Linked DNA regions of Ovis aries. The main gene of each other region encodes a partner of the protein of the gene in region 6 in a complex. Links are inferred from orthologs where the notes say so. Each region holds a gene or a part of one and is shown on either strand. Other genes may lie near its edges.

Evidence for each region.
Region 1: the proteins of GABARAP (region 6) and CALR are in contact, whole or in part, in a crystal structure (PDB 3DOW), measured with the Homo sapiens proteins. The link is inferred for Ovis aries from reciprocal best matches to the Homo sapiens genes GABARAP and CALR. Residues at the interface, in NP_009209.1 of Homo sapiens: Glu17, Ile21, Tyr25, Arg28, Pro30, Val31, Ile32, Lys48, Tyr49, Leu50, Val51, Pro52, Leu55, Phe60, Leu63, Ile64, Arg67, Phe104; in NP_004334.1 of Homo sapiens: Asp199, Trp200, Asp201, Phe202, Leu203, Pro204, Pro205.
Region 2: the proteins of GABARAP (region 6) and STX17 are in contact, whole or in part, in a crystal structure (PDB 7BV4), measured with the Homo sapiens proteins. The link is inferred for Ovis aries from reciprocal best matches to the Homo sapiens genes GABARAP and STX17. Residues at the interface, in NP_009209.1 of Homo sapiens: Tyr5, His9, Lys13, Glu17, Lys20, Ile21, Arg28, Pro30, Lys46, Lys47, Lys48, Tyr49, Leu50, Pro52, Leu55, Gln59, Phe60, Phe62, Leu63, Lys66, Arg67, Phe104; in NP_060389.2 of Homo sapiens: Ala169, Glu170, Ser171, Trp172, Glu173, Thr174, Leu175, Glu176, Asp178, Leu179, Glu181, Leu182.
Region 3: the proteins of GABARAP (region 6) and TP53INP2 are in contact, whole or in part, in a crystal structure (PDB 8T31), measured with the Homo sapiens proteins. The link is inferred for Ovis aries from reciprocal best matches to the Homo sapiens genes GABARAP and TP53INP2. Residues at the interface, in NP_009209.1 of Homo sapiens: Tyr5, Glu17, Ile21, Tyr25, Arg28, Pro30, Val31, Ile32, Lys46, Lys48, Tyr49, Leu50, Val51, Pro52, Asp54, Leu55, Gln59, Leu63, Arg67, Phe104; in NP_001316358.1 of Homo sapiens: Glu31, Val32, Asp33, Gly34, Trp35, Leu36, Ile37, Ile38, Asp39, Leu40, Pro41.
Region 4: the proteins of GABARAP (region 6) and KBTBD6 are in contact, whole or in part, in a crystal structure (PDB 4XC2), measured with the Homo sapiens proteins. The link is inferred for Ovis aries from reciprocal best matches to the Homo sapiens genes GABARAP and KBTBD6. Residues at the interface, in NP_009209.1 of Homo sapiens: Tyr5, Glu8, His9, Glu17, Ile21, Tyr25, Arg28, Pro30, Val31, Ile32, Leu44, Asp45, Lys46, Lys47, Lys48, Tyr49, Leu50, Val51, Pro52, Leu55, Leu63, Arg67, Phe104; in NP_690867.3 of Homo sapiens: Ser663, Asp664, Asp665, Asp666, Phe667, Trp668, Val669, Arg670, Val671, Ala672, Pro673.
Region 5: the proteins of GABARAP (region 6) and WDFY3 are in contact, whole or in part, in a crystal structure (PDB 3WIM), measured with the Homo sapiens proteins. The link is inferred for Ovis aries from reciprocal best matches to the Homo sapiens genes GABARAP and WDFY3. Residues at the interface, in NP_009209.1 of Homo sapiens: Glu17, Ile21, Lys24, Tyr25, Arg28, Pro30, Lys46, Lys48, Tyr49, Leu50, Val51, Pro52, Asp54, Leu55, Leu63, Lys66, Arg67, Phe104; in NP_055806.2 of Homo sapiens: Glu3342, Lys3343, Asp3344, Gly3345, Phe3346, Ile3347, Phe3348, Val3349, Asn3350, Tyr3351, Ser3352.

What each region holds. Positions count from the first base shown.
Region 1 is NC_056058.1:10,923,591-10,927,664, forward strand, and holds the start of CALR (calreticulin), read right to left. Parts: upstream 2,801-4,074; 5' UTR 2,730-2,800; coding exon 2,639-2,729; intron 2,271-2,638; coding exon 2,169-2,270; intron 2,009-2,168; coding exon 1,805-2,008; intron 1,352-1,804; coding exon 1,257-1,351; intron 1,167-1,256; coding exon 957-1,166; intron 875-956; coding exon 761-874; intron 681-760; coding exon 537-680; intron 1-536. UniProt on the Homo sapiens protein: Calcium-binding chaperone that promotes folding, oligomeric assembly and quality control in the endoplasmic reticulum (ER) via the calreticulin/calnexin cycle.
Region 2 is NC_056055.1:47,866,964-47,870,463, reverse strand, and holds part of STX17 (syntaxin-17), read left to right. Parts: intron 1-2,310; coding exon 2,311-2,397; intron 2,398-3,138; coding exon 3,139-3,378; 3' UTR 3,379-3,500. UniProt on the Homo sapiens protein: SNAREs, soluble N-ethylmaleimide-sensitive factor-attachment protein receptors, are essential proteins for fusion of cellular membranes.
Region 3 is NC_056066.1:64,038,365-64,042,612, reverse strand, and holds the start of TP53INP2 (tumor protein p53-inducible nuclear protein 2), read right to left. Parts: upstream 2,801-4,248; 5' UTR 2,601-2,800; intron 1,593-2,600; 5' UTR 1,483-1,592; intron 1-1,482. UniProt on the Homo sapiens protein: Dual regulator of transcription and autophagy. Positively regulates autophagy and is required for autophagosome formation and processing.
Region 4 is NC_056063.1:11,708,823-11,713,016, reverse strand, and holds the start of KBTBD6 (kelch repeat and BTB domain-containing protein 6), read left to right. Parts: upstream 1-1,394; 5' UTR 1,395-1,686; coding exon 1,687-3,813; 3' UTR 3,814-4,194. UniProt on the Homo sapiens protein: As part of the CUL3(KBTBD6/7) E3 ubiquitin ligase complex functions as a substrate adapter for the RAC1 guanine exchange factor (GEF) TIAM1, mediating its 'Lys-48' ubiquitination and proteasomal degradation.
Region 5 is NC_056059.1:100,207,953-100,211,452, reverse strand, and holds part of WDFY3 (WD repeat and FYVE domain-containing protein 3), read left to right. Parts: intron 1-264; coding exon 265-412; intron 413-1,648; coding exon 1,649-1,803; intron 1,804-2,690; coding exon 2,691-2,849; intron 2,850-3,500. UniProt on the Homo sapiens protein: Required for selective macroautophagy (aggrephagy). Acts as an adapter protein by linking specific proteins destined for degradation to the core autophagic machinery members, such as the ATG5-ATG12-ATG16L E3-like ligase, SQSTM1 and LC3.
Region 6 is NC_056064.1:26,843,818-26,847,717, reverse strand, and holds GABARAP (gamma-aminobutyric acid receptor-associated protein), read left to right. Parts: upstream 1-1,371; 5' UTR 1,372-1,502; coding exon 1,503-1,592; intron 1,593-2,130; coding exon 2,131-2,209; intron 2,210-2,347; coding exon 2,348-2,466; intron 2,467-2,908; coding exon 2,909-2,974; 3' UTR 2,975-3,400; downstream 3,401-3,900. UniProt on the Homo sapiens protein: Ubiquitin-like modifier that plays a role in intracellular transport of GABA(A) receptors and its interaction with the cytoskeleton.

The DNA.
Region 1 (4,074 bases), on a different chromosome or scaffold from region 6:
TCACATAACCACTACACAATACTACAGTCTAACATTGCAGTTGAAAAATAGGCTGCCTAGATTCAAACCTCAGCTCTGCCATTTACTATATATGATCTTGAGCTGGTGACTTCATCTCTTTGCACCTCAGTATCTTCATCTATAAAATGAGATCTCATTCTCTTCTTCAAACTATCTTTCCTAGTACAGTCTATGTGCCAAGCAGCATACTAGATGCAGAAAGTACATTGACAAACAGGACAAAAATTCGGCCCTTGTGAAGCTAAGTTCTAATGGGGTTATCTACCTGCCTTTCTAGGCTGCTGGATGCAATTGAGTTACTTCCCACAAAAATACTTGAAAATAGTACCTGGAACATATTAAGTACAAGCCAAAGCAGGTGCTGTTAAGACCCCGTAATGACAAACCAGGAATTTCTTAAAAGAAAGGGGGGGGGCACCATTTTGGAGTCTGCCCGCCCTTGTCCCCTTTTCTCCTGGGTTGACCCTGAGCACCTGAGGTCCCCTAGGGAGCCGCCTCTTCCCTCCATGTCTCACCTGCCAAAGATCCAAGCCTAGAACAGCAAAGTTTTCATAGGCGTAGATGTTGCTATCAGGGGAATACTCAGGGTTGTCAATCTCTGGATGGATCCAAACGCCCTTGTACTCTGGGTTGTCGATCTGCCTGGGCTTCCACTCCCCCTGCAGAAGTAAACTGACGGGTGAGCGAAGATCACTGCCTTCCCCATTGTGCACCACCCTCCTCAGAGTGCCAGACTCACCTTGTACTCTGGGTTCTGAATAACAGGTGGTTCCCACTCTCCGTCCATCTCTTCATCCCAGTCCTCAGGTTTCTTAGCATCAGGGTCAGGAATGTGCTCAGGCTTGTCCCAATCCTGAGGATACATTAGGAGGTCAGAATAGGAGCAGCTGTCCTCCACACGCTCCATGGTGGGGAGCCCCTGCCCAAGCACCAACCTCAGGCTTGGAGTCTGTGGGGTCATCGATCTTGGCACGATCATCCCAGTCTTCAGGCTTAGCGGCATCAGGATCCTTTATCTTCTTGGGGGGCAAGAAATCCCAGTCGTCCTCCAAGGAGCCTGACTCCACCTGGCTGTTATCAATCTTCACCTCATACGTATTATCAGGCCGCACAATCAGCGTGTACAGGTGGGTGAATTCATCGTCCTAAAGAGAATGAAAGATGAGTGGCCCCGCCCACCAGCCTGGGCTCAAAGCCTCCCCTCACAGCCATTTGTGACCACCCCCAAGGCACACCTTGCAGCGAATATCCTTGTTGATCAGCACATTCTTGCCCTTGTAGTTGAAGATGACATGAACCTTCTTGGTGCCGGGTCCACAGATGTCTGGGCCTTGGTGAGAAGCAGATCTTGGTCAGAACTACAGTCTGTCCACCATTACAAGCCCCTGCCCACCCCATTACAAAAAGACAACTTGGTTCTTAAACTCAGGACTGTCAAGCTGAAAAAACAAAATTCAGACCTTCTCTCTAAGGAACTGGGGGAGGACACTTAAAAAAAAACAAACCACACATCAGTACTCCAGAACTCACAATCTTCACTTGCACAACTAGGAACAAGGAAATGCCTATATAGTAAAACTGCACGAATTAGTGTGAAGTCGATGATAAAAATGCAGTAAGTGGTTCCTAACTATTCCCTCACCTTCCCTATGAAAGAAATGCCTAAAGCATGTAAGTGTTTTCTATGCTCTCAAGACCACCGTTCATGGGCGATAAAGAACTCCCCGGGTTTCAAACTCCCTCTAAGTGACCAGAAATCAGCACCAGGGTGGAGTCCCCTTACCAAACATGATGTTGTATTCGGAGTCCCCGTGCATGTCTGTCTGATCCAAACCAGCTGGAAACAGCTTCACATAGCCGCCCCCACAGTCGATGTTCTGCTCGTGTTTCACCGTGAACTGCACCACCAGCGTCTGACCCTTGTTGCTGAAAGGCTCAAATCTCGCCGACAGTGCGTAGAACCGGGCATCCTGGCTAGTCTGCAGGCCTACCGAGAGACTATAATCAGATCAGGGCTCAGCACCAACCCCCCGGGGAACCCTAAGGATGTAAAATACACACCAGTCCTCCTTCCTTCACCTCCCCTACTTCTAGGGATACCCAAACTCTGTCCTCCTGGATCTGAATACCCACTCCTAAGTTCTTACCTTTATCTTTCTCCTGGTCACCATAGAACTTGCCGGAACTGAGAACGAATTTGCCAAAATCCGGTTTGTGTTTGGATTCGATCCAGCGCTCGGTCCACCCGTCTAGAGGATCAAAGAGGCAGGTAAGCGCGGCGGTGCTGATCAACTCCCCACCAAACATCTACCAGGAGCCACAAACTGCTGGGAGCAAGGAAGGAGATTCCCCCCTCCCCCCAGACCGTCCCCACCCCAACCTCTAGTTTGACATCTCTGGTGACTTAAAAGATCCTCGGGCAAACCCTAACTCCCGCTTCGGAAAGCCGCTGCTCCCTCCACGCTCCCCAGGGACGCCGAAGGAAGGCTCGCCTTCGGCTCCAGTCCCTGAAGGAAACCGTGTTGGCCCTCTGAGCAGTAATTACAAGCGACACGCAGATATGGGCCGGAGGGCCAGCCGCGTCGTTAGGACGATCTCGAGCGGGACTAGCCGTTACCTCCGTCCAGAAACTGCTCCTTGAAGTAAACGGTGGGATCAGCGGCGGCCAGGCCGAGAAGGCCGAGCAGCAGCGGCACGGGTAGCAGCATGGCGGGCCGAGGGGGCGGTGGCGCGCGGGCCCTTTAAGTCACTCGTCCGGCAGCAGCTCTGCAGTGGGGACGGACGCCGCCGCCGGCCGTGCCCTTTTATACCCCGCCTGCTCTCAAACCAGCCTGGTCCGGCCTCTTGGTCCGCCTTCCTCACTTTATCATTGGTCTGTGGCCATAGCCCTGCCTTTCCATTGGACCCTTCTAGGCTCAGCATGTTAGGCTGTGCCTCGGAACGCTGGGTTCCCAGATGGCCGATTTCTATTGGCCGCACCACTGGCCAATGAAGGTCGACCACGCGTTGTGGGGGACGCCCACCGGTGAAGTCGGGGGGGCCTCGAGCCCCTCAGTCCAGGTCATGTGACCAGACCTCGGCCCAGCCCCGCCCTCCCTTGCGCGCGGCGTTCGGGATCTAGGCGTTTAAAGAACACGCGCGAGCTGTGGTGCTGCGTGAAGCTAGGGTCCGGCTCCATTCTAGACTCCACTCAAGGGTTGAGTGGGCAAGGTTTTCCTAGCGTCTTTCTACTCTGAGTTTGGGGAACCCCACCATTCCCACCTTGTCTTTCTCTTCCTTCCCACTCCTCTTCCCGTCCTCCACCCGCCTCCCTGCCCCCCCCCCCCCCCCCCCCCCCCGCCTTCCTCCCCAACCCCGCCTTCTCCCTCCCACACCTCCCTCCCCCGGGATGGGGCAGAGGGCACCGAGCCCTGGGGCTTCACTTCCTCCCAGCGCCGGAGCCCTGCAGGCCTGGGGGAAGAGTGCCTGTTCTCAGTACGGTCCCCGTAGTGACCTGGCAGCCTGTCAGACTGCTTCTGTGTGAGCTGGGGCAAGTCATTCAGCCTCTTTGAAATCACAGGATCTCTTGAAAGGCCAGGAGGAGCGACCCCGGCCAGCTGCTGTCCGGCGGAAATGCTTTTCAAGCTTTTAGGGATTTTCTGGGACAGAGGGAAGGACCCTGACGGCTCAAAAGATGTGACGACAGGTTGTGTTCCTCTCTTTGCAGCCTGTCCTTTACCTCCCTCCCATCCCCGCCCCCCAGCCGGTAAATGAAAGGGGTCGCCGCCTTGTGGTCTCCCGCAAACGGCCTGGTTTTGCAATTAAACGGCTGAATATGAGCGGGCAGGGGGTTCCGTTGGGGAGGAGAAAAAAAAAGAGGCAGATGGTGAGGAAGATAAGGTCCAAGAGAGGTGGGCAGGACCCCTGAGACTAGAGCCTTCTGAGGCCACAGGCACATGACTGGCAGTGACTGACACCAGCCCCATACCCCTAGGCTGCAGGAAGGAGGAAGGAGAACGGGGACTTTCCCAAACTGAGCAAATAGGCTCTGGACTTGGGAAGTAGGAATAAACT
Region 2 (3,500 bases), on a different chromosome or scaffold from region 6:
ATTCTTCCATTTATTATTTATGTGACCTTCAGAATGTTAACAACACTTAGCTTTGTAAATTGATGGGAGGACTCCATGAGATATTGTCTTATTTCTCACTCCCTTCCCTACCCTTGGAGTAGGAAATGCCAATCCACTCCAGTGTTCTTGCCTGGAGAATTCCATGGACAGAGGAACCTGGCAGGCTATAGTTCATGGGTCGCAAAGAGTAGGACACAACTCAGCGACTGACACACACACACCATTCCCCACCCCGACCCACTGCATTCTTGCCTTTGTCCCTCCCTGTTTGATTCACTCTTTGCTTAGAATTCCACTTTTGCCACCACCAATACCTTTAGACATTTTAGTACTGTAGTTCCTATAGTCGCTTTCCTATTACTGGAATCCCTTAATGTCAACACCATACTTACCCACCCTGCTTATTGCCTACTCTAGGCCAGTAGACTCTGCCTGTGTATCATAGTGTTTATGTGCTTGTTTCTGGGCTTTTCTGTGTATATGAGTGCATATAATTAAGTTTAGTATATTCATATTATCTATCTTTGGAGCTCAGAACGAAGATAGCTTAGTTGGTTGGGATCTAAGACTAAAGCTGGCGTTGAAGGCTGGCTGGAATTTAGAGAGAGAAGAATAAAGGAACATATCTGGAATTTTGGCATTAGTTTCTTAAACCTGTACTTTCCAGGCACATTAATAAAACTGTACAACTACCAACAAGGGGAAAACAGTTCTTCATAGTTTTGACTTCAAATGCCCAAATTGCATTCTGCTTGACAAATATTAACTTAATAAATCACATTTCCCCCCAGAATCTTAGGTGGTCTTATAACTGCTTATTAAGATTCTGTTATTTTTTTCAGGCAGGTAAGGAAACCTAAGTCATTGTTAAATCCATAAACATATTCTTAGATTCTTTGGAGAATTGTTTTCCTTTAAAAAGGAAAGTCTATTCATTACTCTAGTTTGAGAAAACTACAGTGAGCCTCATAAATAGTTTAAATAATTGTTAAAGGGATGCTGAGAACAATATGAGGTGCCAGTGTTAAGTTGATGGTTGTCAGATTTGCGAGGCCTAGGTCAATGAAAGCAAACATAAGTAAATCAGAAGAAAAAGGGAAGGTTGGTAGATAGGGGTGAGGAGGCTTTGTTGTTCGGGGCTTGGTGTCCTGTAGTAGAATAAAGTTGTGTATGTATAGTTTGGCCCAGCATAAAGAGCCAAGATCACAGTGGACAAATAGGGTCCAGATTGAGCTCTGAATGGAGTCTAGTTTGGCATTTAGTTGGGGTTGAAGAGGGATTCTCTTCTATTATCTGTGAATTAAAAAAACCCCTCAAAAGTAAATAGTCTATATGTTGATGTTTACATCAACATGGGTTGATGCTTACATGGGTTTATACATGTGCGAGAACTAATCAAAGGATATGCCCTAAGAATTGGTTGTATATTATATGTAAATTCCATATAAATATAGTTTTCTAAAAATGGGAATATGTTCCTCTGTCAGGTAGTGAGTTCTTGTCACTGGAGATGTTTGAGCTGAGATTCAGTGGCCACTTATCAGAAGTGGTATAGTGGGGTTTCACATAGCTGAGGGGAAAGTTGCACTTCCACCCAGAGATTCCGTGTTTCTGTTGTGTCAGCACAGATTTTGCCATTTTATGTAGAAGGCTTTATTAATATGTTTGATCTGAAACATTTTAATTTGTCATGATTTTTAAATGTACTGAAGTGTACAGGTGTAAAACATGGGACAGTAAGTTCGTTCACTGCTCCCTTGTGCATATCACAAATGGAACAATTTTATGGCAGGTCAAACCATATTATATTTTTACTCCTAAAACATAATAACTTGTGTTTATTGGATCAAGGGCATTTAACTCCTGAGACAGATTTGTCTGTTTTAAACTGAATCTTCAAAGAAGATAAGTTAGAAAGGCTTTTGGTTTGATTTTTTTTTTTCCATCAAACCTCACATGACACGTAAATGCTTATTTGGATGTTTTTCCTCCTGGAAAGTAGATTCATTTGGAGAATAATATGTTTGCATGTTAGAATGCATTTTAGTGTGAGATGCTTTGTCCTATAAAGGTGCCACCCTTTTCTTGTCTAATAATTAAGTCACCCTCTTTTTTTCATACAAGTGAATTTGTACTTTCAACATGGTTTATCAGATGCTATTAATGAACCGCTATTAAGACTGCAAGGCTGCAGTACCCAGGGCTCTGATTACAGGAATTAAAGTAGTGTGTATTGGCTGACTGCTGCTCCCCAGCAGGAACGTTCACTCATAATTCCTTTGCATCTAGTCTCAGCAGGAGAAGATTGACAGCATTGAAGACCATGTCAACAGTGCTGCTGTGAATGTTGAAGAGGGAACCAAAAACTTGGGGAAGGTAAGATTCTGCTCCTGCTGACAAATCAATGGTACTCTGGCTCTCAGGAATCCCTAGTATTAACCCAATTGATCTGTTCTCTTTAATGTTGAGGGAACCAGCAATTAAGAAAATAAGGAAGAAATGACACATAGGTAGTGCAGGAAATCAATGGTTGTTGTAATATTCTACTCTAAGATTCCTTCTGTTGGGAGAGACATTTTTTCAGAGAGAGAGTAAACTGGAGCCCTGCTATATGGCACTTGGTGTTACAAAATAATATTTTCAGGGGTCCAGGAGAGGAGTAGAGAGGGTTGTCAGAATCCAGTAGGGGCCAAAGTTTAGGGACGTGACAGCACACATGTGTGGGTCCATCTATTTCCCATAGAACGTGGCTTTTAACCCCAGGTACATAGCATGGAGTAATCTGTGTGCAACATAAAAGCTTTGGGAGTATCTGTGGCTACTGAAACTGTTTAAATAAGCTAGCTAGATAGTTAGTGAATTGACTGTTTTGCAAGTAAAATCAATCTGTAGCAGTCCACTCTTTGTAGCTCATTTCTCTAAGTTCTGAGATCTGGAGCAATTAGAGTACCTGTGGAATACTTTCTCCCCTCCCCCAACCCCAGAACAATCTCTAAGGTTAATTATGTACCACGAGTTAAAGAGGCATTGCCAGGAGTAATGAGAGGAAAATGCATATCACCACAGGGAGATATTCTCAACTCAATTTCTAAATTGAATTTTTTTTTTTTTTTACAGGCTGCAAAATACAAGCTGGCAGCTCTGCCTGTGGCAGGTGCACTCATCGGAGGAGTGGTAGGGGGTCCGATTGGCCTCCTTGCAGGCTTCAAAGTGGCAGGAATTGCAGCTGCACTTGGTGGTGGGGTGTTGGGCTTCACAGGTGGAAAATTGATACAAAGAAGGAAACAGAAAATGATGGAGAAGCTCACTTCCAGCTGTCCAGATCTCCCCAGCCAAACTGACAAAAAATGTAGTTAAAAACCAAACTTCGGTATTATTGGTGCCAACATGTCTATCCTAATGACGAGCTTCGCTGCTGTTGGACACCCAGTCAGCTTTCAGAACATGATTATATCCCAGTAGTGGCTGTAGATGCTCAA
Region 3 (4,248 bases), on a different chromosome or scaffold from region 6:
AACAGTTTTGCTACTCAGCTACTTGTCACCTTCCTCTAAGGATGTTTCCACACTTTCTATAAAGCTCCCTGGGGATACAGTCACAATTCCATTCCCTGGAGGCATTCTACTCTTATTGCAAACCCACCTGGGGTATTTCTATGGTTGTTGCACATCTTCCAATCCCTGGGTATATTTTTCACACTTGCCACAGAATCACCTAAGCTCTACACCCTGAGAGTATGTATACATTTGCAGACCCCACAGTGGGCTCCAGAAGGAAGTGGTGCCTGGGTGTTGGCCTCCCTGGTGGTAGATTTTCAGGGATTATGAAAGGCTGGGTCACCCTCAATCAGTGCCCGCCCAGCACAAGCCACATATCCCAGCCCATTTGTAGCCACAGGGAGTTAGTGACTCAGTTACCAAAAATTCAGAGAGTTTGACCCCTCCTGAAGGAAGGGAAAGACTGGGGCCTTGATGAGGCACACCCTGTTTCCAAGGACCTACTGCTTCATCGAGAAAATGGAAAGAAAGTGAACAGGTGTTTCAGAAACCATGGGGAGACGGGGGGAGTCAGACAGGAGTCAGATTTTGATCAAGTCACTGCCCCTCTCAGGGGGCCCTCTGTCCCTCTATAAAAGGGTCTGAGGTTCCTGGCACGGAGATTCATCCTGCATTTACCAGAGCATCCACTGTGTACCAGAGTCTGCTCCAGGCCTCTTCAAATTACAAACCGATTGAGGTAAGGAAGGCTTAGGGCTGGGAAAGCTCCCTGCCCGAGGTCACACAGCAAGTCAGTGACAGAGCCAGAAGTGACAGCCTCACCAGCCAGCCAGTGCCCGCCTCCTCTCATGACCACAGAGGGAGGCTCCCAGAATTTTTCTTTCCCAGCCCTGCCAACTTCCTGGTTCTCACATTCCCAGTTCTGCTCCTGGGAGAACCATTCCCTTTAATAACTGCAACAGCTGTGCCCGGAATAACACTTGATCCCCAAGCCACCTCTACCCCAGCCCATCTGTGAGCAGAGTCTAGGCTGAGATAGGACTCTTGGTCCAATCCATAGGCCCATCTATTTGGAAAGTCAGAGGCTCTCCTGCTCAGTGTCTGATGCTTCTCTGTGAGCAGAGAGGGGAGCACACGCTTTGTAATCATCAGCACTAGTCCAGGTCAATCATTTCTAGCTGGCAGCTCTGAGGGTGCAAGATGAAAGTGATAGTTGCTCAGTTGTGTCCAACTCTTTGTGATCCCATGGACTGTAGCCTGCCAGGCTCCTCTGTCCATGGAATTCTCCAGACAAGAATACTGGAGTGGGTTGTCATTTCCTTCTCCAATGGATCTTCCCGACCCCAGGGATCGAACTCTGGTCTCCTGCATTGCAGACAGATTCCTTACCATCTGAGCCACCAGGGTGGGAGGTGAAGGACAGCCAAACAGAGGGAACTCTCATCTCCACCCCATCCCAACACTGGCCCGGGAGACACTCTGATGCAGCCATTGACTCACCTTTCTGTGGCCAAAACAGCTGGGAGGCAGTGATTTTACTGGGTTCCAGAACTCTGAGGTACAGAATGAGGATGGGGGCCTCAAAAGGGGACCCAGTCTCCAGAGACCTCCTGGAAAAAGATCCAGGAGTGAGGAAACCTGGGAGCATTATCAAATTTGGATGGGGCTTAGCCCAAGTGGTTGGATGGCATCACCGACTCATAAGTTTGAGTTGGCGATGGACAGGGAGGCCTGGCGTGCTGCAGTCCATGGGGTTGCAGAGTCCCACACGACTGAGCGACTGAACTGAACTAACCCTAAGTAGAGTCTTAGGTGCAAGGAGGATGTGTAACTTGTTATTTGTAATAAGCTTCTACTAGGTATGTGCCAGTGGCTAATGCAGCCGCCACTCACGAGGGAGGCATGACTCTAACTAGCTGCACGACCTCGAGTAAGCCACCTCCCCTCTCAGGGCCTCGGTTTCTCCTTCCATGAAATGGGCTCTAAGACCCCTCGTTCGGGGGCTGGGAATGACGTCAGCTAAGGCGCTGCACACAGGTCAGGGATTAGGAGAATGTTATTATGTTAGTCCCAGGGGCGCAGAGCCTGGAGCCAGAGGAGATTGCACCACCACTTGGCGCTGCCCCAGCGATCTAGAGTTCAAGCTTCAGGGGCTCCTGAACTTCTGACAACCCCCTCCACCTATCTAGACCCAGTAGCGCCTTCGGAACCTCTCTCAAGTCTCTTCGAACCTCTCTCAGGTGTCAAGGACAAAGTAGATCAGAGGTTTGACCTCAGCTCCTGGGTTAGCCCAGGAAACAAGAGGGCCCTCTGGTCCCGCTGCCTTCAGCGTCCCTCACTCTTGGGCCCAGTTCCGACCCAGCGCCCAACGGGTCACCGGAGGACAAGCGACCCGAGTCGGGAGGGGGTGGGGGGGGCGGTGCCGGCCTTGGTGACGTCTCAAAGTCATATGCAAATAGAGAGACGTCACGGTCTACCAGGCGGGGGCAGCCAATCCGGAGCCCAGAATGCAGCCCCAGCAGCCGCCCGCTGAGACTGACAAAGACCCGGGAACTGGGGGCGCGGGGCGTGTCCCGAGGCTCCAGGAGCCCCCCAGGCCAAAGCCGGTGGGAACTCACCTGGGGACTGGGGGCAGTGCGGCGGGCCCAGGTGGCGCTGAGGTAGTTGTGAGGCGGAGCGTCCCGGGATCGGCGGCGGATCACAGGCCCGGCAGCATCGCGGGGGCTGGGTTGGGAGCGAGTCCGGCGCTCAGAGTGACTGCGCTCGCGCGCCGGGCTTTGAGTCTACAGCCGCGGCTGCTGGACTCACCGCACAAATTGGAACGTTCAAACAGCTGATTGTGACGTCACAAAGGGGCCCGCCCGCCTCGCGTCACCGCCCGGCCAAGCGGCGGCCAATCCCAGGCTGCGGATCCCCCCTCCCCGCCTCCTCCGCGGCTAGCCGGCTAGTGGCTCCCTCGCGGGGATCCCAGACTCCCAGGCTAGGGAAGAAGAGGCCTGGAGAAACAACTGCTGGAAGCTTGGACCGCCCTGCCTCTGGGCGACCCACGGACCTCTCTAAGAGGGGGGTTCCCACTCGTTCCTACGAGACCCCCATCTTTCTGCACACCCTCCGCATCTGTCAGCTCCCTCACCTCTCCCGCCGCCTCTCTTGTCCTTTCACCTGCATCTTACACTCAAGTCCCTCAGTCTGTACAGTTTTCTCAACTCCACACCACGTTCGTGCACCCCAGCCTCCCCACCACCCGTCTCCCGGCTCTGCCTTTTCTGTCTCCCTTTCTTAGCCGTACACGCTCGCTGCTTTCCCACTCCTTTTTTTTCCTCTGCTGGGCAAGCCTAACAGGTGGGAGACAACCCTCTTCCCTGGTTCCAGGGGATCGCAGGAAGTATAGACGAGTTAGTTAGGCTGACAGGAAAATTTTGCCAGTAGAACTTGGAGAGGAATTGCTTTGGGCTAAATAAACATTGACCTAGAGAGTACTCTGCACTGGAACGTTTACACATCTTGTGCGTGTGTGTGCTCAATCGTGTCCGACTCTTTTGTGACCCCCATGGGCTGTGGCCTGCCAGGCTCCTCTGTCCATGGGATTTCCCAGGCAAGAATACTGGAGTGGGTTGCCATTTCCTTCTCCAGGGGATCTTCCGGATGGAACTTGACTCTCCTGCACTGGCAGGCAGATTCTTTACCCCTGGCTACCTGGGAAGCCCTTACACACCTAATTTAATCCATATTGCTACTGGGGCTGGACAGAAAAATGAGAGACAGGGATTGATTGATTATTAGAGTGGGACCCAACTGGGTGACTAACCACCACCACCACCACACAGGGAAACAGATCTCATGGTTAGTATATAGATTCATACTCAGTAATGCATTCAACAGCAACTATTGCTGCTGCTAGACCATTAGCTGACATTTCTGAGCACTTACTGAGTGCCAGGCATTGTGCCATACTGCTGTATATGTGTTTTTATTCTTCACAACAACCGAAATGGTGTGTGTTATCCCCATTTTCAAGTTGAGGAATCAGGGTCACACAGTTATAGTAAATGGCAAAGCCAGGATTTGAACACATAGTTCCTGGCTCCAACACTCTCCGCTCTCTACAAGCACCAGATAATCAAAGCCCGAGGGTGCTTCAGCCTCCCCCAGGAAACCTGGGCTTCATCCTTTCCCCAAACTTGCTGTGTGACCTCAAGCAAGTCATGTCATCTCTCTGGGCCTCAATTTTCGTATCTATCGAAACATCCAAGTTACCTTTTAGAG
Region 4 (4,194 bases), on a different chromosome or scaffold from region 6:
AGCACGAGTGTTTATAGCAGTTTTATTCACAACTGAAAAAATTCAAAGCACACAAAATGCCATTTAGTAGGTGAATGGATAAGTAAACTGGTATACAATGAAATATTATTCAATGAAAAGAAATAACTATCAAGCCATGAAAAGACATTTGAAAAACCCTGCAGGTTTAAGCTTTGGGTTTTTTTTTTTTAATAAATAGATTTTAAAATCAGATTTTAAAGTTTATTAGAAAATTCAATAGAAAGCTTTATTAATCTGAATTGAATATTGCCAAGTGAAAGAATGTATATTCCAACTGCATGATATTCTGGAAAAGGTAGAACCAGACAATAAGAAAATTAATGGTTCTGAAGGGCTGGGAGGCAAGGAGAGGGAGGCATAAATAGGTTGAACAGAGGATTTTTTAAGATTGTGAAACTGTTCTGTGTATTATTGTCATGATAGGTACATGACATACATTTATGACATACATGTACATCATACATACATGTACACGACATACATGTTATATAGATACATGACATGCCTGTACAACACAGAGTAAATCCTAATATAAACTACATGTTTTAATTAATGATAGATAACTGTAAGTTCATAACTTTTTAACAAGGGCATACACTAATGCAAGATGTTGTAAACAGGTGAAACTGAGAGGGGGTGGAGTATATGAGAGCTTTCTGCAGCTTTCTATTGGATTTTCTAGTAAACCTAAGACTGGTCTTAAAAATCTATTTGTTAAATGCAAAAACAAAAAAACTTAAAAGGTATCTCTGCAGAAACCTGTAGGGTTTTTCAAATTTCCCCACAGGCTCATGGTCTCAAATGAGAGGGTGCTTCATTCTTCATGAACGCTAGAAGAAAAGCTAAAACTCATTAAGCCTTTATATCATGGGTACTGCGTATAAGTACATTACTCTGCTAATCAACAAATATTTATTTAAAGCAAGGAGAGCCAACCTACGCGATTTAATGCGTATATCACCTACGCGATTTATGCGTGTATCATCTACGCAATTTAGTTCGATCGTCATACAATGCTATGAAGTACCACTGCCATTAACGTTTTTAAAAAACAAGCGGCAGCTCTGACAGAAGCCAGACAACTGATAAATACAACAACTGGCATTTAGTCTGAATTCCAAACCCAAAGTTCGAAACCATAAAGCCGAACGGAATAGAATTAACCATTTCGAACTCCGTCGTCCGAAACAATGAACGGGCAACAAATCTCGCGATGCTATTGAAGCTACTACTACTCCCGATATGCAAAGCGGTTTCCGTGCCGCAACCTGTGCCGCAGCAGGTGCCGCAGCCTGTGCCGCAGAGTCCGCGGGGTCCCGGCATGCCTCGAGGCGCGAAAGGCAATCTGGGAGCCGTAGTTCTCCTGGATGCCTAGTGGTGGTGCCGGCGCGGAGGTGGCGGATCGCTCGCTTCCAGCCAGTAGGTCCTCTGAGGGCGAGCTGAGGCGGAGAAAGGGCGTGGAACTGGAACCCGGTGAGTGGGACGCGGTCTACGCGATCGAGGGAGGCGGCACCGCGGCAGAGGGCTGACTTAAATAAATGGACCAGTGCTGCAGTCTCTCCGGAGACACCGCGGTCTTAGCGTCAGCGAGAAGAGGGTGAGGAGGCGCCAGAACCTGGTCCTTGCACCCGTTCTCATCTTTCGCTCTCCGCCGCTCTCTCCATCATGCAGTCCCGGGAAGAAGCTTCGCGCTCTCGCCGCCTCGCCAGTCCCCGCGGCGGGAAGCGCCCCAAAAGGGTTCACAAACCCACGGTTTCGGCTTTTTTCACTGGCCCGGAGGAGCTGAAGGACACGGGCCATTCTGCAGCTCTGCTGGCCCAGCTCAAGTCCTTCTACGATGCGCGGCTTCTCTGCGATGTGACCATCGAGGTGGTCACCCCCGGCAGCGGGCCCGGCACGGGCCGCCTCTTCCCCTGCAACCGAAACGTGCTGGCGGCCGCGTGTCCCTACTTCAAGAGCATGTTCACCGGCGGCATGTACGAGAGCCATCAGACGAACGTGACCATGCACGACGTGGACGCCGAGTCCTTCGAGGTCCTGGTCGATTACTGCTACACCGGTCGCGTGTCCCTGAGTGAATCGAACGTGGAGCGCCTTTATGCAGCCTCCGACATGCTGCAGCTGGAGTACGTGCGGGAAGCCTGTGCCTCCTTCCTAGCCCGCCGCCTTGACCTGGCCAACTGCACAGCCATCTTCAAGTTTGCTGATGCCTTCGGCCATCGCAAGCTGCGATCACAGGCCCAGTCCTTTATAGCCCACAACTTCAAGCATCTCAGCCAGATGAGTCCAATTCGCGAAGAGTCCCTGGCAGATCTGACCCTGGCCCAGCTGCTGACCGTCCTGCGCCTGGACAGTCTCAACATCGAGCACGAGCAGACCGTGTGTCATGTGGCGGTGCAGTGGTTGGAGGCGGCTCCCAAGGAGCGGGGTCCCAGCGCTGCAGAAGTCTTCAAGTGTGTCCGCTGGACCCACTTCACTGACGAAGATCGGGGCTACCTGGAAGAGCTGCTGACCAACACCGTGGTGAAGAAGTACTGTCTGGACCTCATTGAAGGGGCCCGGCAGATGCGGTATGGTGACACATTGTGCAAGTCTCTGGTGCCCAAGCCAGAGAGCAGTGGTGGCAGCAGTGGCAGTGGCGTTGTTAGCTGCGTTGCTTGTGGTGGTGGTGGTGGTGGAGGTGGTGGTGGCGGTGGCAGCAGCAGCGTCGTTAACGTTGTTCTTGGCGGCGGAAGCAGCAGCTCCGTTGTGCCCATGGCTGATCATCCACCTCAGAGGCTAGGTGTGTATGCCAAGAAGATGGTGATCTTCTTTGGCCATCCCAGAGATCCCTTTCTGTGCTGTGACCCATACTCGGGGGACATTTACAAAGTGCCATCACCTCTGACCTGCCTTGCTCACACTAGGACTGTGACCACCTTAGCTGTCTGTGTCTCTCCAGACCATGACATCTATCTGGCCGCCCAGCCCAGGAAGGATCTCTGGGTGTATAAACCAGCCCAGAATAGTTGGCAGCAGCTTGCTGACCGCCTGCTCTGCCGGGAGGGCATGGACGTGGCATACCTCAATGGCTACATCTACATCCTGGGTGGTCGGGACCCCATTACCGGCATTAAACTGAAGGAGGTGGAGTGCTACAGTGTCCAGAGAAACCAGTGGGCGCTGGTGGCTCCGCTGCCCCATTCCTTTATTTCCTTTGACCTGATGGTCATTCAGAACTATCTGTACGCTCTCAACAGTAAGCGCATGTTCTGCTTTGATCCCAGCCACAATATGTGGCTGAAGTGTGTTTCTCTGAAGCGCAATGATTTTCAGGAAGCCTGTGTCTTCAACGATGAGATCTATTGCATCTGCGACATCCCTGTCATGAAGGTGTACAATCCAGTCAGAGGAGAGTGGAGGCAGATTAATAACATCCCCTTGGTGTCGGAGACTAACAACTACCGGATTATCAATCATGGCCAAAAACTGTTGCTGATCACCTCCCGCACCCCGCAGTGGAAGAAGAACCGGGTGACCGTGTATGAATACGATGTTAGGGGTGACCAGTGGATTAATATAGGTACCACATTAGGCCTGTTCCAGTTCGATTCTAACTTTTTTTGCCTCTCAGCTCGCGTTTATCCTTCCTGTCTTGAACCCGGTCAGAGTTTTCTCACTGAGGAGGAAGAAGTACCTAGTGAATCCAGCACTGAGTGGGATTTAGGTGGGTTCAGTGAGTTGGATTCTGAATCAGGGAGCTCAAGCTCTTTATCTGATGATGATTTGTGGGTTCAGGTAGCCCCTCAGTGAAATGCACAGCAGAGTGTGTTACAGATAAATTGAAACACTAAGGTATTTTTACTGCTTTGGAAAGTATCTTAAAGAGATACCCTTTCTCTTTGCTGGAAGGAAAAAAAAAAAGTTGATTAATTTCAAGTTTGGCTTAGAAAGGGTATTGTTTGAAATACTAATATAATATCACAGAATTTAAACATCTTTAAAAGAAATCAACCTGTTTAATAATTTACTGTTCTAAAAGTCCAGTGTGGATTTGTTTGGTATGTTTATGTTTGACAATATAAGTTAATTGTAATCAGTAGTCTTCTATGATTAAATCTTACATTGTCTTGTGCCACAAGTGTTTCAACTTGAATTTTAATTTCTACACTAAAAAACTGATTGGATAGGAAT
Region 5 (3,500 bases), on a different chromosome or scaffold from region 6:
AAATTATCATGAAATCAGTGTAGCATAGAGCTTGATGGTAACCCAAGCTTTAGTATCAGAGTCTTGTCCCCACTTACTGAGGTATGAGATCTCAGATGGCAACCTTCTGAGCCTCTTTAAATCTCTTTCGTCAAGTATAAAATGTGATAATGTGATACCTAATGGCTGTTGTGAAGCTTAAGTGAAATAGCAACAAAATATCTGGCAAATAAAAGGGTTGATGTTAGCTTTTGTTATAAAATGTGTTGTCTTCTCTCTTACCAGTTATTTAAAAAACCTCATCCACCCAAGCGAGTGAGGAGTCGACTCAATGGAGACAATGCGGGGGCCTCCGTCCCTCCAGGGTCTGCCAGTGACAAGATCTTTTTTCATCATCTAGACAACCTGAGGCCTTCGCTAACACCTGTAAAAGGTAAAATGACAGGGAATGGGCTTTTGATGGATGATTCTGTGGGACTCTTTAATAATCCTAGTTAAGCAATAACAAATTTGCTTCTCAGCAACAGTGTCATTTGTAGTAAGTGCTTAAACCATCAAATACAGAGTCTCCTTTTCCTTTTCTCTTCTCTTCTTTCTGCCTGTTGGATTTTGCATCCGAAAGAAACCCAACAGGTTTCTCCTCTCTGCTAGGGTACTGAAAACTAGGATACCAAATCTTATAATTCAACTTGTAGAAAAACTTCTGCCATCTTCATTTACACATGTTCTGCCAATTTAGAAATAGCAGTAAGAAGACTTGTATTTTTAACACGCCAGCTTTAAAAGCTTCTTTCATCTACTGTTATTGTAAGTTATTTTAAATTACTTTTCCAAGTAGATTTTTTTCCCCTTTGAATAAAAAAAAAAAAATTGTTTTGCAGAGTCTTAAAGTTGTCACTTAAATCCAAAAACTGGAGCATCAAACTCTGGATGGGTGCCCAGCTCTCTGCCGCCTGTCTCATTCCACAGACTCTGCCCTGTGCCAGCTCCAGCCACTGCCCAGAGATGGCTCTGGAGCACTGGCATGGTCAACAGAGTCCTGGGTCAGAGCTGGGGTTCTTGGCCTTCCTTCAGGAAGTCTAGGGCTGGGAGGGGCTGAAGGCCTAGGTCATTTGGAGGTCTGTGTGGCTTTCTGGGGAGCATCCCAGAACACTCTGGAAGTCCTCGGGATCAAAAGGTGGGCCTGGTGGCTGGGAGCCAAACCCAAGCAAGTGTCCATAGCCAGGCAGGCTAGAGACACCAGTCAAGGTCGATATCTGCCCAGTTGGTCTGCAGAAGACTCCATCGAAAGCCACACCCTACTTCCTTCTCAGGTCATTTTGTATTAATGTGGGTGTGAAGATACTTGATTTGTATGAATATTTGAAATCCCTTTACTCTCCCCTGTGGGATTCCCAGGTAGCCTTAGTGGTGAAGAATCTGTCCACCAAGGCAGGAGATGCAAGAGATGCCAGTTCAGTCCCTGGGTTGGAAAGATCCCCTGGAGGAGGAAATGGCTTCCCACTCCAATATTCTTGCCTGGAGAATCCCATGAACAGAGGAGCCTGGTGGGCTGTAGTTCCTGGGGTCACAAGAGTCAGACACAACTAACACTCTCTGCCCTCCTCTGTGGGATAAGGAGGTTAGTCTTCCCTGTACTGGTTCTAACATGTTGATTTATTTTTTGTAGAACTCAAAGAGCCTGTGGGACAAATCGTGTGTACAGACAAAGGCATTCTTGCGGTAGAACAGAATAAGGTTCTTATCCCGCCAACCTGGAACAAGACTTTCGCTTGGGGCTACGCAGACCTCAGCTGCAGGCTGGGGACCTATGAGTCAGACAAGGTTTGCAATGTTGCTTGCTCTCTTATGTCATCCTGCCTCATGGGGGTGGGGATAGCTCAAGCCAAGGGCTTCTCCGCTGCTCCTCCCCAGCCCAGAGGAAGGGAGAGCTTCACTGCATCCGATCAGGATAGAGGAGCTAGTGGACGAGTCCCATTTCCTGCAGAAAAGCCTCTCCTGGAAGGTTGTGTACCAGGACCTAGCAGTTTGCCTTCCACTCCAGGACCTCCTCCAGGGGGCCCTAGCCAACCAGGTGTTCAATATTTCTGCCAACCAGAAGAGCCTCCCTTTGAGTCACTGTCCCACTTACCATTTCGGTGGCAGAAAACCTGTCACCCTTCCCCTAAGAAGCAGTTGCGGCTACCATTTTGAGTCCCATTAGCATCTCTTGGAGAGGCAATACATAAGTGATGCTTTGGGGTCGTATTTGCCCCTTGACAGTCCTCTCCTGAATGCATGAGGGACACAGTCTGTGTCTGTAACACAGTTTTGTTTAGTCACATTGTCATGAAGAGCAGCACTCATGGGTTCCTTTTACATTCTGCCTGCTACAGCGGATGCATCCTTTCACCAGATCACCCCCTGCATCTCACACAGCATCACACAACCTGAACGTCATTTTCCATCGCACAATCTAAACATCTTTTTCCCTGACTGGAGAAACTGGAGACCCCCAATATGAACAAAGTGCTTCTTATGATTTTCAACAGCATCTATAGTTAGGAGGCTGTAGGGTGTAGTTCAGAGTAGAGCTTTAGGGAACCAGCCCAGCAGGTATTTGCCCAGAAGGGACCCAAAAAGAGGTTCTCTTTCATTTCGTATGCTCGTCGTGTCTCAGAAGCTTGTAGTGCTTGATGGCATGTGTGTCTCACATCTCTTCTATTTTACAGGCAGTGACTGTTTATGAATGTTTGTCGGAGTGGGGCCAGATTCTCTGTGCGATCTGCCCCAACCCCAAGCTGGTCATCACGGGTGGAACAAGCACGGTCGTGTGTGTTTGGGAGATGAGTGCCTCGAAAGAAAAGGCTAAGACTCTCACTCTCAAACAGGTAACAGAACGTGAGATGGTGGACCTATTCCAGCCCACCCGCTCGTGCTCTAGAGAAACTGAGTAACTTCCTTAATTCCAAGGCAATTTACACATTAATGGACAAGACCAAAAAAATGTATGTTCTTTTGCTAGAAATGGATCTTAAAAAAAGTAAATGAAAAATCAGAGGATACTATTTCTGAAGATGATCCAAGCTGTCCTTTTATAAAATCTGAAGCAAGATATCTTTAGGTGATGTAGTTTTTTAAAAAATATATTTAAGTAATGTCAATGTTTCTCAGAGTTATATGTAGGTTAAATTCTTGCAAACCAGTTATATTTGCAATTGATTCAGAATAACTTCTTTTCTGGATGCTTTTCATTCATCTATACCATTAAGTCGTTGATTTTTGGTTTTCTGTTTCTTCATTTATAATATTCTTAAGAACATGGCAAATTCATGAAATGTATTCAGAAAAACCATTGGTGATGTTATTAACAAGTATTTTTGATCACTTGTTATGAGGTGACTCTATCATAAATGTTTAATCAAAACAAGAATTCTTTTATCATGAAGCCATCACCTTTTTAATATTTGATTTATAAGTGAATTTACTGTAAGTTTCTTTTTAATGGAGTTTACATCTAGGTGTTTTCTGTTATAACACAT
Region 6 (3,900 bases):
AGGAGAGCCGCAACAGTGTCTGGTGGAGAGACACAACTGGCCAGAGTGAGACAGACATTCGGTAATCCGGGAGGCTCAAAAGAGAAGCCAAGCCAGCTTTGTTGTGATTTGATTTTTTAAAAACTCTTGTACAAAACTGATCTAATTCTTCACTCCAAGGGCTGGGCTGTGGGTGGGAAACTGGGATTTTGGGCCACTGGACTTCCCCCAAACTTGTCCCCTCCTTTACTTTCCCTCTATTTGCCCTTCCTCCTAGATTCCCTCAGATCTGTAACCAGCTTTCTCTTTTTTCCTTTCCTCTCTTTTAAACCATGCATTATAACTTTGAAACCAAAGCTGCCCTAGGTCCTTCTCTGGGGTTTGGGGAAACGAGGGAGGGGTTTTTGTTCATATCCACCCTGTTCACTAGGCAGAGAGAGAAGAGCCTGCTGTAGACCCTAAGTGTAGGGGGAAGGATAGTGTTGGCTTTCCCTGGCAGGAAGGGTCTTAGTGACAGGATGGGCACCCTGGTGGGGAGTGAAGAGACAGCTGTGTGTCCTGAGAGAACCTGAGCTTCAGTGCAGTAGGACGAAGTATTAAAGGAGTAGAAACCTCGACGACAAGAAAGGCTGGGCTTCGTCTGGAAGACTGGCATGTACTAGCTAGGCAGGCGCTTCCTTCGAGCGGCGGGCTCCCCAGCCCCCTGGCTGACCCGGCCCCACGTCCCCACCTCCCCGGGGCCCTCCTCCCAAAGCCCAAGCCGGCTCTACTTCCTCGCGCCTGCCACGTGACGCTCCGCCCTTTGAGATCACATGATTTTCGCGGACACAGCAGCGGTGTTCTTCCGCGCTGACGTAGTCCTTACCTTTTAGACCTCCTCTCCAGTCCCTATTGGTCCACTCATTATTGGAACTTAAGCGTCCAGTGCGTCTCTCCAAACAGGTTTCGTTTCTGCCCTCTTATTTCCAGCGACCTCTTCCTCCACTTGGGTACTACTTTGTTTTGGTGTCAACGGCCGCCTTCAGCGTACCAACAGATTTCGTGAATAGCTATCCTTTAATTATCTGCCTTTCCTCTGCATTACTTCCGAAAAGAGCTTTCGGAGAGCCAAGTCTCAAATTACGATTACCATCTTTTAGCCCTTATCATCGTTACCTCCCTGTGGGGAAAGTCGGGAAATGGATTTTCAGTTATTTCCGACGATAGCAAAAGGCAACCATCTTTTCTACGCCGCCTGCGTAATTTACAAATTGATTCCAAAGCGATTACGCTGAGGGCGTGAGAGAGGAGGTCAGTAGGTGGTGCTACGCTACTGGCGTTAGGGCAGTTACGTCAGTGGCGTAACATAGCAGCCTGGGAGGCCCCTGTTGGCTGGGGGCGGGGTTGGTGAATAGGGAAGTGGCGCAAGTCCGGGGATCGCTCCGCTGAATCCGCCCGCGCGTCGCTGCCGTCGCCGCCGCCCCCCGTCCCGGCCCCCCCCGGGTTCCCTCAGCCCAGCCCGGTCCAGCCCGGTTCCCGGGAGGATGAAGTTCGTGTATAAAGAGGAGCATCCGTTCGAGAAGCGCCGCTCTGAGGGCGAAAAGATCCGAAAGAAATACCCGGACCGGGTCCCGGTGAGGACAGTAGCCAGGGCCGAGGGCGCGGGGCGCTGGCGCTGACGCCACAGCCTGGGCTTGAGTCCGGGACCCACAGCGCAGGCATCAGGCTGCCGGTTGTGGCGGCGTTGGGAACGAGCCCCAACCCGCTGTTTCTGGGACCGGAGGTGAAAGGAATGGGGTACCAGTAGAGCTGAAAGTGAGAAGATGTAGACTCGAGAGACAGACCTTGGGGTTCCCGTGGGAGGCTGCGGGGCGTTTGACAGTCTGAGCTTCCCATAAGGTTTTTGAAATTGAAGCTCTGGTTGGCCCGAATAAGTCATCCTCGTCTGATTAACGTAATTGTTTTTATGACGCCGTATTCAGGGATCCTGGATGTTTAGGTGAATTAGAGTCAATGGGGTCAGAATTCCTATTCAGGGCTGCGCCGCGTGTTAAGAGACAAAGAGAAATGAGTCTGGGGTACGTGTGGGTGCTAGGAATGTTGAATTCTTGACAGGTGGAGCTGTGCGTCTGTGTACCTAGTGTCTGCTAATTTTTATCTTCTTTTTAACAGGTGATAGTAGAAAAGGCTCCTAAAGCTCGAATAGGAGACCTGGACAAAAAGAAATACCTGGTGCCTTCTGATCTTACAGGTGGGAACCTGACCCAGTACTCAGATTTGTTTCCTGGGGGTGGGAGTACAGTCTCTGATGGAGGAGACTCCACATAGCAGGTGTTCTTTTGAGGGTATTTGTGATCTCTGACTTTTATTAAGCCTTGTATCTTGGCAGTTGGCCAGTTCTACTTCTTAATCCGGAAGCGAATTCATCTCCGAGCAGAGGATGCCTTGTTTTTCTTCGTCAACAACGTCATTCCGCCCACCAGTGCCACGATGGGTCAGCTGTACCAGGTATGGTGCCTGGGAAGTAGAGGAGGCTTTGGGGAGGAGTTGGAAGCGCTTGAGAGGCAGAAAGTTTGAAGTCAGCAGTTCTTGGACCAGCTGGCTTACTTAGCTCTCAATTTTATATTCACCCTTAAGATTTCCGCATCGTTCTGGGTTAGGGATTTGGACAGGGCAGTGAACCAGAGTAACCGCTGTGGTCCAGACTCCCCTCCAGCCATTCCGTGTTCCAAGGCAGTAGAGAGTAGTTTGAGATCTTATTGTCCAAGACTGTGGATAGGATAATACTGCCCAGCACTTATGGTCTGGAGCAAGTGAGAGGGAGAGTCAAAGCACTGGTGTTTGGGGTCTTCAAAAAGAATGGTTGTGGAAGAATATGTCCCAGTGGTGGGTGGTTCAAGTAACTAAAACTCTGATGCCTGAACGCTGTTGTTTTCTGTCTTCATCCCAGGAACACCATGAAGAAGACTTCTTTCTATACATTGCCTACAGTGATGAAAGTGTCTACGGTCTGTGAAGCTGCTGCCCCTAAGGTGGGGGGTCCCATTCTACAAAGAGAGAGGTGGCCCCCCTTCCTTGACCTACTCCTCCTTGAGGTTCAAACACCACCTCCCTTCTTCAGGACCTGCACTTCCTAATGTTTGAGACTCTCCTACAGACCCTCTTAACACAAGGGTTAATGGGGGAGATGGCCTCTAATACCTCTCCTTTCTTTCTTCCCCTTTCTTTACCACCTTTCCCATTCTGCTTTAGATTTCTTGATTGTCAATCTCTGTCACATCTGGTGATTGTTTTGGTTTCTGTTCCCTTTCTAACTGCCCAAGGGGCTCAGAGCCCCAACAATCCTTTCTTTTCACTACCTTCTTTTTGGGGGGTAGATGGAAGGGACTGAAATTGTGGGGGAAGGTAGGAGGCACATCAATAAAGAGGAAACCACCACCAAGCTGAACTGGATTTTTTCTTTGTGTTGTTCCCCTCCCCCTTTTGTTCTCTTCAAGTGGTGGGAAAAGAGTAGGTTAGAGGGAATAGTATATTTTGGTTTGTTCTGCTTATGTTCGGCTTTTCCTTGTGTATATTAAGAGTGTGCTTTTGTTATGAGGGATGGAATACTGAATATCATTTCATGAAAGTTCAGTTTTATATACGTGTATATGGGTTGGGTCCTGAGGTTATTAAAGTTTTTTACAGTGGGTTCCTGTGGATAAAGTTTGAAAGCACCTTCTTCAGATAAAACATCCAACTGTGTCGTAACTTTCTGGATTAAGGAAGAGATTTTCGAGTATGGGAGCTAGTGAAAGGGCTCCGTTGTCAGATGTATGTCGCTTTGCCCGGCGTGAGGGATCCAGTGGAGTGGAATCCAAGGGAGGGAGAAAACTGGGAGGAGGGAGCCATTATCACCAGGAGAACTTCATCTCCCAGCAGCCTTTCTCTAACTGGCCGGAA